Linked DNA regions of Drosophila melanogaster. The protein of the gene in region 3 interacts with the protein of the main gene of each other region in a pairwise test. Each region holds a gene or a part of one and is shown on either strand. Other genes may lie near its edges.

Region 1 (4,470 bases), on a different chromosome or scaffold from region 3:
ATATGTTCAAATCGAATCGAATTGAGGTAAATCAGATCGGGATTGGATCGAAATGAAGCCGAATGTAATGAGGCTGCAACAACAGTGAGGCACAACAGCATGATTATGCAAATGCAACAGCAAATGCACCACAACACACAACGCCACTGCACCACAGCACCACCCCTTGTTAGGCGGCGGTGCAGTTCGATATCGTGCGGTGGTGCGTCTATATCTATGTCTATATCTATACGTATATATTTGCTGCATAATCGCTCCCGTTGCATGTTGCACTCATTAATAATGGGCGCGTTTTTGTTACTGCATTTTATTGCACTTGCTAATCACGCGGCGGCCGTTAAATAATTGAGCTTGAACGCCACCCGGCTCGCACAATTCGTCCAGGATTTTGGGCACCTCGGTGCGTTTCGCTTCCGTTTCGCATTCGAATTGGGTTTATTTATTAGTTCATTTTAGTGTTCCTCGTTAGCGCACTCTTTACCGCCCCAAATCGGTCTTTATAGCTTATTATATCACGAAATTGGCACCACGGTTTCGGCTGGAATTTGGGGAACTGATAACTGGTCATTCAATTAATACCACGGAAACGTCTAGAATTAAATTATAAAGAAATCTCAAAAAACTATTTTATTTGTTGTCCAATAAATTATAAAATCTAACACATAAAACATTTTCATTACTTAAAAGGAAATTCATTCATGAGTTCCACAGTGTTTAAAAAGCGTTAATGAAATATATCTATCCAGGGATTTCACAAGATTTTCCGAACGACAGTGGATGGATATGTATTTTCAACTTTTATTTATTATCTTAATGGCTAAGCACAGAATCGTATTCTATGGCTGGATAAGTTTAGCTCTAGGTATAGCTCTTATTTTCTTTTCTTCTACATGCTATTTACACTCATTTATAACTTTTATGGGGCTTAAGACTAAGGTGAGAAGTTAACCAAACGAACGTAAATCCTAACTTCATAATTGGTAATCAGTACATTTATTTTTGGGCACTATTAGCTAGTTTTAATGCAATGCAAATCAATGTGGGGCGTATTTGATGGATCATTCAGTCTCTCTACTCAAAGCCCGCCGGTTGCATGAGGAACTGGTGCTGGCTGCTCATTGTCGGCAGCTGTATGTCTTCCATGGTCATGGATGTCTTGGGGATGTTGACGGCCTCCGCCGATCCTCCCGCCTCTGCATCATCCCCCTCCAGCATGGCACTGTCGAAGCTCTTATTCAGACGATCGTGGAACTCGGTCATGGAGATTTTCTTGAGTGCGAAACGCTTGCCAAAGGTCTTCTTCACCTTCTGGCGGCGTCTCTTCGACAGGATTTTGTTCTTGTTCAGGCCATCGCTGAAGGATATTGCCCGGCGGAGTTTGCGACCCCACACCTTAACTACTTTCACTTGGCTGCTGATGGAGCACTCTTCGCTGTCGTCCTCTGCATCGGCGGCATTCTCATCGCTGGGTTCCTCGAAGATTGTCTCCAGATTGGTGGGCGTGAACTTTTTCATGCGCCTGCTGGTGTAGATCTTTTCGATGCTTTTAAGTGTTTGGGCATTTGTGTTCAGTTCTTTGCGTTGCTTCTTTTTGATGGGTTTCATGATGGCGCTGCAGATCCGGTTAAAGTTGTCCTTGGACACCCTGGCGGGCATTCTGCGACGAGCCACGCCCGCTCGAGCTCCAAAAGTGGAACTGCGTCTGGAGGATCCACTGATGCAATCGCTGTCGTCATCGTTGTCCTCGCAGCGACTCAATTGCGAGTCTACATCGTCGGAGTCATGCGATTCACTGCTGACATTGTCATCGGATTCGGGTGGAGCTATGGGCTCGGATGTGTCCTGCATCTCCTCCATGTCCGACAAGGCCATCTGATTTAGTTGCCACGACAGATTCGAGTTAGTAGTGGGTGACCTGAAGTATGAATTTTGGGCTAGTTTCAGATATAAATTATTCTAAAGGCCTACCTGTTGTCTTTTGCTTGAAACGTGATCTTGGCAAAGTCGTAGACTATGTTATCCATTATATTTGACGTTGAATTCTAGAAATCATTCCTAACAGAAAACAAACGGAAAGCATACATATTAGTTATCTTTTTGAAAGGTTTATTCCTTGTATCTTAGCTCAAAGATATCAGTTAAAGCCGTCGGAACTGCTCAGTAACTCGAGTTAGAGATCTTGGAAGTCAAAGATTACCTAAAGTTTACTAACCTTTGCAAAATAGCGCATTTTCTTCTTGTAAAACCCTTTTTTCTGCAGGCGTCTGTATGACAATACAGATCTTTGTCACTCCGGGGGGTAATTTATCCGCAAATTCCTATTTTTTGGCTAAACATATCGCTGCCAAATAAGGTTTTTCAGAAATCTGGATTTAACTACATGCAATGATGCTGGAAAGTCCTATTTTGCAGACAATTAAATGACAGAATTATAACTTTTGTGTTCTTTTTGTAAAATAAACAGCTTGGATTAGAGCTGGTTCAACCAGTCACAATTGTATCGATAGGTAGTGTACTTGGGTTCAGCCAAAACCGATAGTTTCGGATAAATGAACAGCTATCGATTACCTATTTTTGCGGAATATTCAAAATAAGTGGCACATTTAATAAAGCGTATTCAATAGCATGAAACCGAATCTAATGGGCTTTGGCAGATGAAATGTATGCTGCCTAATGATTATGTCCGAAACTTTTTTTTCACTAAAAAAAAAACAACTGTGCGAAAAGGAAATGTGACACGGACTAATGGGTTGGTGCATTCGCTTACTGCCAGAGTGGTAGCACTGCTTGTAAGCAGCCGTTGCATTCAAGTAGTGTAAATGTTTTCTTTTTGATAAAAAGAAAGGCTGCTATTGGTTTATTTATCAAAGAGTTCAAAAGTGGAACGTAAATGTGTTCATTTGTTTTGTAACATAAAACAAAGTATATTCTCGTTTAGTATAATAAAGCAAATATATTTTATTGTTATAATAAATTCAAATTTGACAAGCCTCCTTTGATAATGTCCACATTTAAATCTTATCGAAAGTGCCAATTTCCATTCAAAAGATTTCGTCAAGTTGGCTAACTCCGCACACAAAAACAAAAGAACCGTGGTTATCTGAGAGTTGTAAATTACTTTCCCAGCGGATTATTTCGTTTCCGGTTGAAAATGAAGCTATAAATGTGGCGACTGTGTTTGTTTGCGTTTATTAAGTGTGCTGAACTTAAGGAACATGAAGGTGCTAGCGGTCCTACTTTTGGGGGTGATTGCCTCCGCCACGGCGTTCGAGAAGCCGGTTTTCTGGAAGGATGTGCCCGTGGGCAAGGCCTCGATCGAAGGTAGGATCACCATGGGATATCCTGCCTACGAAGGCAAGGTGCCCTACATTGTCGGTTTGGGCTTCAGCAAGAACGGTGGAGGCACCTGGTGCGGCGGTTCCATTATCGGCAACACCTGGGTGATGACCGCCAAGCATTGTACCGATGGCATGGAATCGGTGACCATCTACTACGGAGCCCTCTGGCGCCTGCAGGCACAGTACACCCACTGGGTGGGACGTAGCGACTTCATTGAGCACGGATCTGGAGACATCTCCCTCATTCGCACTCCCCACGTAGACTTCTGGTCGCTGGTCAACAAGGTGGAGCTCCCCAGGTACGACGATCGCTACAACAACTACCAAGGCTGGTGGGCTCTGGTCTCCGGATGGGGCAAGACCTCCGATGAGGGCGGTGTCTCCGAGTACCTGAACTGCGTCGATGTCCAGATTGGCGAAAACTCCGTGTGCGAGAACTACTACGGCAGCTTCTCCGGCGACCTAATCTGCATCCCCACTCCCGAGAACAAGGGCACCTGCAGCGGCGACTCCGGTGGCCCACTGGTCATCCACGACGGCAACCGCCAGGTGGGCATTGTGTCCTTCGGCTCCTCCGCCGGCTGCCTCTCCAACGGTCCCAAGGGTATGGTGCGCGTCACCAGCTACCTGGACTGGATCCGCGACAACACTGGCATCTCTTATTAAAAAGATGTTTTAATAAAATAATGAAAATATATTGCAACCTCCTGAAAGTGTGATCTTAATAGATAAGCTATGATAAGCTTAGATTTGAGCGCCTAATTAAGGGTCATGTTAAATGCAGTATTAGTTGTTATCTGTAATATACTAATCGATATATATTAATAGAATAAACTCCTTTTGGTGAAACTTAGTTTCAAAACCAAATCGATTTTTTAAAGAAGTCTTGGACTCTTCTTCCAGAGGATATAGTTTAGTTAGCTTAAGGAAGTAGTTTAAAATGGTACAGAAACCAAATCACGTATGTGTTTGTAATCTACCTATCTATCTTGGGATTAGTCATAGCTACGGCAAAATATAATGTAGCTATGATAGCTAAAGATTAACAAAGGATTTAAGTGAACTTTTTTATTCGTTTAATTTCTCAAAATAGCGAACTTTATTAGTAAGAAATGCCAGTATGGTCGCGGAT
Region 2 (4,961 bases), on a different chromosome or scaffold from region 3:
TGCACTCATGGGATTGGCATCGCCAACTACGCAAAGTCAACATAAAATCGCCAAAAGGAAACAAATATAAATAAATTATTAAAACCAAAGAAATAAACGAATGTAAACAATTAAGTAAAATGAACAATTCAGTTTAAAATTATAAATAATATAGAAAAATTATCAAGAAATCCAGTATCGAAAACTCAAACTATATCGAATTAATGTCAATACTGTAGTCTTACCATATTCAGAGGGACCCTGTGGATATCCGTAGCCGCCGGGCCCCACCATTTGCGTGGGATGGTGCTGTATGGTGCCGATGTCGTTGCCATCGATGTCCATGCTGCCCACCAGCGGACCCGCTGAGTATTCGTCCTTCACCAGGCGACTGGGGCCCGACTGCAGACTCAGGCCGGACAGATCGATGCCCGGAGAGACGACGCGCTCGTAGTGGTAGGGATTCACGCACACCGAGTCGCACTTGAGATCGAAGGCGAAGGCGCAGTACTTGACGTGCTTCAGCTCGTTCTTGTGCAGGTCAGGCCAGCGCCAAATCCGGGCGTATATGACGTGCGGAAAACCCTTGCGTCCAGCAACCTTCGATAGAGAATGGTAAAGTGGTAAGTTCATTGCTTATACACATTATCAAATTCGATGCAGAAAGTCTGAGAGACTCAACCTACCTGCAAGCGACCATCGAGGGTGCGCTGTATGGTCACGCACTTGCTGGGATGGGCTCCGTTCGTGGTGATGGCCGTGATCAAGGAGTCCAGTTCGTCGCGCTTCTCCTTGAGCTTTTTGACCAGCGACTCGATGGCTCGCTTGGCAAATCCCTCGCTTTCGCCGCCCTGCCGATGGCACATCAGCGAGTGGACGATGCTCAGACAGGCGTCCGCCGATGTGGGGGCGTTCGAGGGCGGCGGCGGCATTTGCACCATGTCCCGGACAATTACTGCAGATGGTGGGGGTAATTAGCTCTGAGTTTTTTTAGTAGATCAACGGATACTGTACAGCTCAATCCAATTTCATTTTAAATTTCAAAGAGTTTCAAGTTTATCAACAGTAAATAATAATGCTACGGTAAGATTTAGGATTGTCCACAATACTTGGCCACAAATCGATTTTAGAATAACAACTCGAAAAGGAGTTCACTATGACTGCTGCTCCTCTAGAGAACTTCACTTACTGTCCTGCGGGGCTACGGCGCCGTACATGTGGGCGGGCGGACACGCCCCCGAGCCGCCGCCCATGCCAAAGTCCTGGGCGAGCGAGCCCAGAGTGCGAGCATGGGCATCCACGGCGGCGTTGTTGCTGGATCCGGATCCGGAATGGGGATCGTGAGCGGCGGAGAGCGGAGTGGGGATCGTACGGTGGCTGGAGCAGGCGTAATCGAAGCCGGCGGCGGGCAAAAACAAGGCGTAGAATCACTGGCCAAAGAAAAGCCAAACAAAGGCGGCACGCGAATGTGAGCACAAAACAAACGGCGGCTGGATGGCTTTGTGTGAGTGGGCTTGGGGGGTGTTGCACACACGCATACACACACACACGCGCGCGCTGAACTAACTCGACTTGAACTCCCACAAAGTTGGCGTAATTTCCCTGCGAAAACTCTCCTCTCCTTCGTCTTCTCCACCTCCTTCTTTACGCACACTGGCACACGCACTGCACACACACACGCCCAGCGAGAAGTTTCCTGCTCAAATCCTTGGTAGAGACTGGCTTTTACTGTTTTTCGTGGAATTTCATAGTTTGCACTTAATTGGCTGCTTGGGAAACTCGAAAGTACAATTTTCCGCCCGACGAAATCCAGTTTTCCAGCCAATTTGCCTTTTTTTCCTTTTTTATTTTGTTGCGGCTGTGCAGAGTGACCGTTTCGCGATACAACATGGGCGGGCGTTGCCAGATGGGCAAAGCGCGAAATACCTACCTTGGATTTTTACAAACACCTAGTTTGGTCAGTTCTCGAAGATTTGATTTGAGAATAAGTTTATATTTTTTGGAAATAAGAAGCAAGAAAAGCAGATACTGATCAAAACGCAGAGGCATCCGGGTAAGTGCCATGAGATTTGTTACACCGACTTACACTCATTTCGCGGGCTGTTCAGTGCGTAAAACGAACTTTTTGAAAGGCCGAAAATCAATCGCCACGCGTTTTTTCCCATTCGCATGTGTGTGTGTGTGTGACGAAATTGAGGAAAGTTTCTTATCGTTGAGATTGGGGAAAATCGAAGGCTGAACATCTTGTGCAACAAGTTAATTGATGTTTTCGCATTCCCATTGAAAAGTTTCTTTCCATTGCTTTAATTGCTAAAATTCATTCATAAAAAATTGCCGTTGATGAGTCGTTTGTGTGACAGGTTGTTTCTAGAAATATGCATGTGTGTGTAGTGGGGCCTGAAATAGACCACCCCCTTCCCCTCTTCTCTTGAAAATGTTCACTTGGCAACAGTAACGAATTTCCTTTTCGCCGGAAATGCATTTCTCCGGCTTTTGTAAAACAGTTTGCTGCGTAGTTTCCATCTTCAAAATATCTTATCAAAATGCGTAATTTCAACGCTTATCTGAACGGAATTTCGATTTGCGGCGTACATATGTAAATATGTTTATATTTTGGCAATGACATTGATTGTGAAATTATGTGTGGGAAGTTTGCGATTCCCTGCCAAAACAGAAGCTTCCATTTGTAATAGTAATTTGGGAACTCAATTTAACTTCGAGGATTTGTTGCCCTCATATTTTTTAATTCCCTAACTAATTAAATCACTTGTCATAAAATTGTCTACATCCCGCATTCAGAAGCATAAAGTTATTATTTAATCCCTATCAGGCTTACGGTGTTGAAAATTGTTCGACACCAAAAAGAATTATTGCGGGCTTATTTGAGTTCGGTGTTCAAAATTGTTCGACATCAAAAAAGAATTATTGCGGGCTTATTAGGGTTCGATAACATTACAGCGAAATGTTAGTTAACAGAGAGAATCGAATAACATACACATCGATAGTGAGGGACTATCGCTTCCGCTGGCTTAGGGTATTTTATAGTACAAATTTCAGTTCGCACCAAATCTGTGGAACTTGTAGGCCTACTGGTAACACTGGTCGCTCACAATATTCTTCATTCGTAAAAAAACAACAAAGCGGAGAAGTACCGTTTTTGCGAGCGCGAGTGTTTGAATGTGTTTGTTTGCTTAGGAATAGAAAATAGAAATTGAAAAGGACCAAGTGCAAACGTACAAAGCTTTGCTAAAGCAGAACTAAAAAAAATCAGCAGGAGGAAAATGCACAGCTGATGGAGAAAAGTCCCAAGCACCTTCAGCCCAGTGTGTGTGGGAAAAATCGATCCGCAGACGGGAAAAATTGAGGATAAAATGCCAGCCTAATAAACAGAGTTCCAATTGTGATACAAACGCAGTACAAATTAGTTAACAACTAGCTTAAATGGCCAACGACAAGGTTTTATAGCTAACTATCTGACGCAATTGAATAAGCGTAAAGCTGCCAGCCAATTTATTCACTTATTTTCGAGTGCAATAGAAGCAAAAATTCACAACTAAACAAAGTTCATCTCAACATTCCTGCGCAACACAAAACAACAAAATGGCTGTAAAAACGTAAGAAAATGCTAAATTTATTTAAGAGTGGAAAAGTCGATAAAATGCAAAAAGAGAATCAAGGTTTTTTTCTTCATCTATCAGATGATTTTGTTTGTAGGAAAAAAGAAATTATATTAGGCATACATACAAAATTCGTTCATTTACGTGTTTGTTTCGCTTCCATTTGTTTCACAGCTGTTTGTCTGGTGTTTGTGTGTGTAAGCGAGAGAGTGGATTTGGGGTCCGCTATTCGTAGGTCGTTGCTTACAGAGTGAGCGAGAGGGTCGAACGAGGGGTGGGCGAGGAACTATGCTGCTTGCAGTGGTATGTGTGTTTGAGGGGCTGTGCTTTTTATGCAAGCTGTACAACATACATATGTAATGAGACTAATGTACGCCTTTGTTTCCTTGGCACCGCCTTATTCGCCTAGAAAACCCATTCCTATTGCCTTCCCCCATTTGCATATCTGTTTTATTTCCAATTTGCGTCAATTGTTTTACTTCATATTCCCCTTTTCCTTTGTTGTTCTCCCCACAATTTGTGTGTTCCGCTTCCAAAGTTCCCTTGCCATCGTACACACACGCGAGCTGCAAACAAAGACTTTGTATGTGTGTATGTTGTTCCCATTCGGATTTTTACCTCATACACACACTCACACCAGCACAGCAACTTGATTGGTTTGGGAGTGTGCGTGCTCTGGCTTGGAATTGCGTCAGCCAAAAATAAAATATGTGCGACGGATAAAACTACTTGTTTTCGTTTCAAAAACACTTTTGCTCATTTTAGGAAGCAACTTGTTTCTGGAAAACACAAGTAACAACTGCTATTACATTCCGTTTTGTACCCCGTTTCTCCTGATTTCACCTTCAGCGCATTTACTTTGTTTTCTGGGTCATATTTGTTGATTTCAATTTGTTGCGCAGTCGCAAAGTCGCGCAGAATTGCTTAATTTGTTGATTTTCATATTTTCCATAGCCTCCAAAATAATATAAATACAACGCATAAAACGACCCCACGCACGCATACTAATGAAACAGTTGGGTTGGTGTGGGTGTGTGGGTGTTGCTGTACCGTTGTTTTATTTATTCCTCTCCACACTTGTTTACATGTAAAAAGGTCTCTTCTATTCTCTGCCTACCTTCTTTGTGGAATGAATAGAGATGGGAACGGGTGTGAAAAGGGGAGAATTCATCATTAACCCTTAGGTGGGCAATGTCCAACTATTTGGGTCACGTCTACTAAGTAAGTCGCTTTTGGAATAAAGAGATTAACTTACAATTCCCGTTTATATATTCCCCTAAAGCCATTGAACCAAAATGATTAGTTTAAGGCTAAATAACCCGAAATCCAGCTGACATCTATTTGGCTTCCACTTGTGGTTAGGGT
Region 3 (5,096 bases):
CGAAGCGAGATTACCAGCTTGTCGACATCAATAAATGCAAAGTTAGCACAATCCAAACTAATACGAACGCCATCCTGTGGCTTCAGTGGAAATGCGGTGCTGTTATCCGCTGAACTGTTTAAACTGACGCCATATGGAGGGACACTCTGATTGAGATAGATTACAGCATTGACTGTCATTACCAGACAACCCCCAATTGGCTTCTGAATCGGGTAAACCTGCAAGGGAAAAATGACACATTAAACGTTGTGACTCCTAAAAGGTAAGTGGCATTTTCAAACACCCACTTGTAGGCAGTCAAAAGGTAGACTGTTCACGGTCCAAATAATCGGATGCACTCGCTGTTGAATGTTCAACGAAATGGCCACCAAAACGCAAGTATCGGAGCGCACCTTTATTCTTCCCGGACAGGTTCGCACCGGTTCGTAGAGTATAAGCAGCGTTGGTTCGTAGTAGCCGTGCAGGAATTGTATGTCCAGAACATTGTCGATCTTCTCATCAAGATCTCGCAGTGCTATCAGGTACGATGCCATAATAGGCGTCCTGCTGACCATTGCCGTCGGAGCCTTTTTAATTGGCTTCACATCCGCTAGCTCGATCTCGTCCAGGCTGTTGTCCTTGCGAAAGGGCAGTACCACCAGCCGTTTGCCGTAGACCAACATGACGGCACACCTGGAATCGGGATCTACGCGAACTGTGGGCACAAAATAGCGACCCGTCCAACCACCACGTATGTCATCTTCCTCGAAATAGTGAAGTGAGAGAGTTTTCAGCGCAAACGTATCGGGATCGTGCTGCAGTACGGACAATTTCGCGTCCTTGAAACTAATCAACAGCGCATCCCGCATGGCACCCGCCAATGAGACGCACTGCAGCGACATCACATTGCCGTAGAGCGTATATGTGGCTAGGCATTCCAGTCGCATTTTGGGCGCCAGACGCATCTCGCTGGGATTCAGCTTTTGACGCTGGCTCGCCTCCACGTTGGGCGCTATCCGGTACACCTTTAGTACATTGGCGCCCGCCACCACCAGGTTCTCATCCAGATTGTTAAAGAAGCGGCATGCTATCGAAAACTCCACCGCCGTGGCGGAGTGCGTCTGCTTGCACATCGAAAACATTGCGGTGGTTTAATTGGTGTCGCAATTTCTTAAAACATTATTAACAATTTCAGCCAGTTTAACAATTTGCCGGCCCAACACACACAGCAGCTGCGGAACTATCGATTGTGGGTGCAAAGTTATCGCTCATTGGATGTGAAAACTTGTTCGCCGTTTTAGTGGGTGGAATACCATATTGGCTTGATTTTTGTCTTGCTTTTTGTTTTAGCGGTTTTTAAGTATTTCGTTAGTTAATATCTTGCAAAATGTATTTGACCAAATAAAAGCTATATTTTTTTATCTGAACATGTAAAATGATACGTATGTTACGTATTTGCATAAGTTACGAGTCTAAACATTTAGAAATTATTTATAGTGCATTTTGGTCTTAGAGCTTGTATATTTTTATAACAATTATTTTGTATGCACACGTTATACAATTATATTATATATGTACGTAAATGTAACATAACTTAAAATCAAATAACCGCTACGTACGTAACGCTTCATATTTGCCAGCTTATTTCTAGCTACTTCTTGACCTGATCGTTCAATCGATAGTTGGCAGCCCTGGTGCGGGAGCAGTGACTGCGCAAATACATCCGCTCCTATCCGATGTATCGGATGCGACATCAACAACCCCATCGGACTTGGCAGGGCAGCCAGAAATTCGAGCGTTTTGCGTTTAAAACTGGCCACGAAAAAACATTAACTAGTTGGTGTGATTAGTGACTAGTGTTTGCGTTGTAGTAACTTAAACAATTTCATTCAATTAAACGCAGCTTTTCTGCATAGTGAGTGTGAGAGAGAAACGGGCGCTGCGCCCGATACGGGAAAACGCGTGCGCCAGAAAGGGACCGGCATAGTTGGCTAGAAAAGAATCATTTTGTAGCTGCTTTGTTTGTGTGTTTGGCATTCACATTTCCCCCATTCAATATTTAATTTAGTGAGCCATTAACGAGGCGGAAATCGGCATTATGCAAAAGATAGTGCTCTAGTACAGATCTAAATCCGTACCATAAATAGGTAAAATACCCGCAATTAGTTACTTAAATAGGAACAAAAGTCATTTTTCTACTTCTCCGATGTGCTAGTGTGCATTTGTGTGTGTTTGTGTGTATGTGTATGCGTGCGTGAGAAAAAAATATAACCAACTTTGCAGGTCGTTCGTATTTGTTGTTGTTACTGCTGTTACATTGTTGATTTGTTTAAAATTACTGCTGGCAAGTGAGAAAAGTCGTGAGGAAAACAAAAACAATAATTAAAACTAAGGCATAACAAACGGAAAAATCTCCGTATAGCCGCAATTTCATTACATATAAAAAAATAAAACACACGCACACACTTCTAACGAAATATATGCGCACATACATGCACACAGATGACGTACATACATATACAAAGGGCGCAACGTTAAAATTATACAGACACTTTTTGCCTTAAAATGGACAATTCGTTAGTGCAGCCGATCAGGATTAATTTCGTGCACTATAGTATTAACCAAAAACTAGTTTTGCCATCTAATATGGCATCTAAAATCGACTGGGAAGCTTGAAAATGTTAAAAACAAGCAATATTGGCTGAACCCCAACACGGATAAATCAAATAAACAAATTTAAATTTGAAAACTATAAGAAGTTACATTCATTTTTGTTACACATCATTTTGCATTTGTATATGATCATTGTCAAGTTGCCAAGCAATTTAAAGTAAAGAATTAATGCTCTGTTTTTAATTTATATCCAAATAAACCATCACATAACAAAACTATTTCATTGTTAACAAAAAAATAATATTAAATTATCTATTTCTCAACATTTCCAGTGTGTGCGGAAGAAACTTGCTTGACATGGGTGCATGGATCAAAAGTTCGCTGTAAATAGATTAGGCAGAGCGATTAACAATGAAAACCATTACGCCGGATACGACGACGACGACGTCGTCGCAGCACCAACAACTTCTCATTCCACAAGCGGATCAGCATCACCAGCCGATGCTGCAGCAGCAATCCCTGTTGGCCGCTCCACCGCCTACGATGATAATGGAGCATGTGAATCTGGTGGACGACGACGAGAAGGATCCTCTTGCGCTGGAGCAACTGGAAGTGTCACCGTCTACCAAGCACACACACAGTCTCAGGTTAGTTCTAAAACGATTTACCCGAGCGCCACGAGAATCTCTAAATTTCTATACTAATTTTATTCCAGACGCCACCTGCCACGCATTATCGTGAAACCAATACCACCTGAGAAGAAACCGATGGCGCCCAGCGAAGAGGCTGCCGTCAGTACTGCTCCTGCCCCGCCCACGCGTTTAATATGCAGCCGACGCATTCAGCAACAGCAACAGGTCAAAGCGGCAGCAGCAGCGGCGGCGGCAGCAGCGGCGGCAGCAGCAGCAGCAGCGGCCGCAGCACAAGCCCAAGCCACCTCCAGCTATCCATCCGCCATCTCACCCGGCAGCAAGGCGGGCACCTCTCAAGCTTCGACCATGCGGGAGGTCCTGGCCTCCATACCCGGTTTTAGTGTTAAGCCCCGTCGGAGGAGCAATAAGAAGCTGACGACAGCAGCGCAGATTGAGCAAACAAAAGACGGAAAGATCGACCTGGAGACCCCCGACTCCATACTGGCCTCCACCAACTTAAGAGCGCTGTTGAACAAGCAAACGTTCTCGCTTTTGCCACCGCTCTATCAATACAATCTCATACAACTGCTGCCCAGCGTGGATCGCGAGGCCAGCGAACTAGAGCAACCTAGCAGTAGCGCAAGTGGAGGCAGTCCATCGGAGGCTATAAGGCTAAGTGCCTCCTGTCTAAACAACGAGTTTTTTGCCCGAGCCTGCTTGGAGTGGCGGGAACGACTAAGCGAAGGCGAGTTTACACCCGAAAACCAGCTGAAACTTAAAACGGAAGCAGAGCGCGAAAAGAACAAGTTGGATCCCTGGAAGCTGAAACACTTTGAGCCCTTCTGGGGCGAGAAGAATTCTAGGGGGAAGGATAAGGATAAGTTAGAAAGCGATTGCAAGAATCAGAAGCTTTCGGCAAGCATTAAGAGTGAGCCCAAACCACCAGCGACATCGCAACAAAAACCACTGCAACAAGCAACATGTGATAATGAGACTGAATTAAAATTTGATTTGGTAAGTTACCAAATATTCCCCATTATTTATATCCCAGTTATATTATTGAAAAACTTGCAGAGCACAAAGTGCGAAACGACATCAGCTAAAACTACAGTAGCAGTGGCAGTAGCAGATAAATCAAGCACGTTTCCACCCACTGGCAGCCAGAATAATGTGCTTAACGAACAGCAACGCCGTGTCCTCAAACGTCCATCGAGCAGTCCTTCGCAGCGCAAGCAGGCACCCACAACGATAGCGACCATTAATTTGGACGATGATCTCGACGAGCTGCCCAGCACATCAAAGGACAGCAAGCAGCCGAAGATGGACGAAATTGTTCCTAATGCGTCAGGGAATGTTGTCGCAGCTCCAATGGTTGATGTTGTGGATCACTCTGCAGTCGAAATGAAAATCAAGGACGAGCAACAGCATCAGCGACAACATCAGCCACTTATCAACAGTACCTGTGATAAAATTGAGCCATCTGAATGCAGTAAGGAGATGATCGTTGCCATGAAACAAGTGGATTCTAAGGAAGATGTGGACTCCATTGCATCGGCGGCTGCCATGCCAGCAATTGCTGCCGTTACCCCACATACACCAAAGCCGGAAGCGTTAGCACCAAATCCGGATGTGGCTAACCAATTTGTAAGCTACTTACAAAACGTCGAACTAGCAGCTGGTAAGTAAGAGCTATTCAGAGCGAACAATATAGATAGCATTGCATTAGCTATATTAAGAGTACTCCACCCATATAAATGGCTTATTTAAATTGGCATTACTATTATTGCAGAAACCAAAGCGCCTTTGGACAATTCAAACGAGGCAGATATAACGACAGGAACAAATAGCCATGATTTCGTTTTCTCAGATACT

Evidence for each region.
Region 1: the proteins of Asx (region 3) and tant interact in binary tests that used the Drosophila melanogaster proteins (3 or more experiments, as listed by UniProt).
Region 2: the proteins of Asx (region 3) and CycG interact in a two-hybrid assay, tested with the Drosophila melanogaster proteins (one study listed by BioGRID).

What each region holds. Positions count from the first base shown.
Region 1 is NT_037436.4:6,053,162-6,057,631, reverse strand, and holds tant (tantalus), read right to left. Parts: upstream 2,497-4,470; 5' UTR 2,213-2,496; intron 2,056-2,212; 5' UTR 2,025-2,055; coding exon 1,969-2,024; intron 1,916-1,968; coding exon 1,072-1,915; 3' UTR 630-1,071; downstream 1-629. Other genes in the region: Jon65Ai (jonah 65Ai), read left to right, coding at 3,216-4,004; Jon65Aii (jonah 65Aii), read right to left, coding at 4,441-4,470. UniProt on the Drosophila melanogaster protein: Potential cofactor involved in sensory organ development. Despite its interaction with the Polycomb group protein Asx, it does not regulate the expression of homeotic genes.
Region 2 is NT_033777.3:31,607,952-31,612,912, reverse strand, and holds the start of CycG (cyclin G), read left to right. Parts: upstream 1-1,934; 5' UTR 1,935-2,032; intron 2,033-3,097; exon of another isoform or gene 3,098-3,593; intron 3,594-4,961. Other genes in the region: Med (medea), read right to left, coding at 1-26, 225-579, 666-934, 1,169-1,232. UniProt on the Drosophila melanogaster protein: Cyclin with roles in multiple processes including transcription, meiotic recombination repair, cell cycle regulation, and promotion of normal growth and metabolism.
Region 3 is NT_033778.4:14,502,244-14,507,339, forward strand, and holds the start of Asx (additional sex combs), read left to right. Parts: upstream 1-1,983; 5' UTR 1,984-2,126; exon of another isoform or gene 2,127-2,327; intron 2,328-2,841; exon of another isoform or gene 2,842-2,924; 5' UTR 2,925-3,003; coding exon 3,004-3,239; intron 3,240-3,307; coding exon 3,308-4,238; intron 4,239-4,298; coding exon 4,299-4,902; intron 4,903-5,013; coding exon 5,014-5,096. Other genes in the region: Cpsf160 (cleavage and polyadenylation specificity factor 160), read right to left, coding at 1-218, 288-1,121. UniProt on the Drosophila melanogaster protein: Non-catalytic component of the polycomb repressive deubiquitinase (PR-DUB) complex, a complex that specifically mediates deubiquitination of histone H2A monoubiquitinated at 'Lys-119' (H2AK118ub1).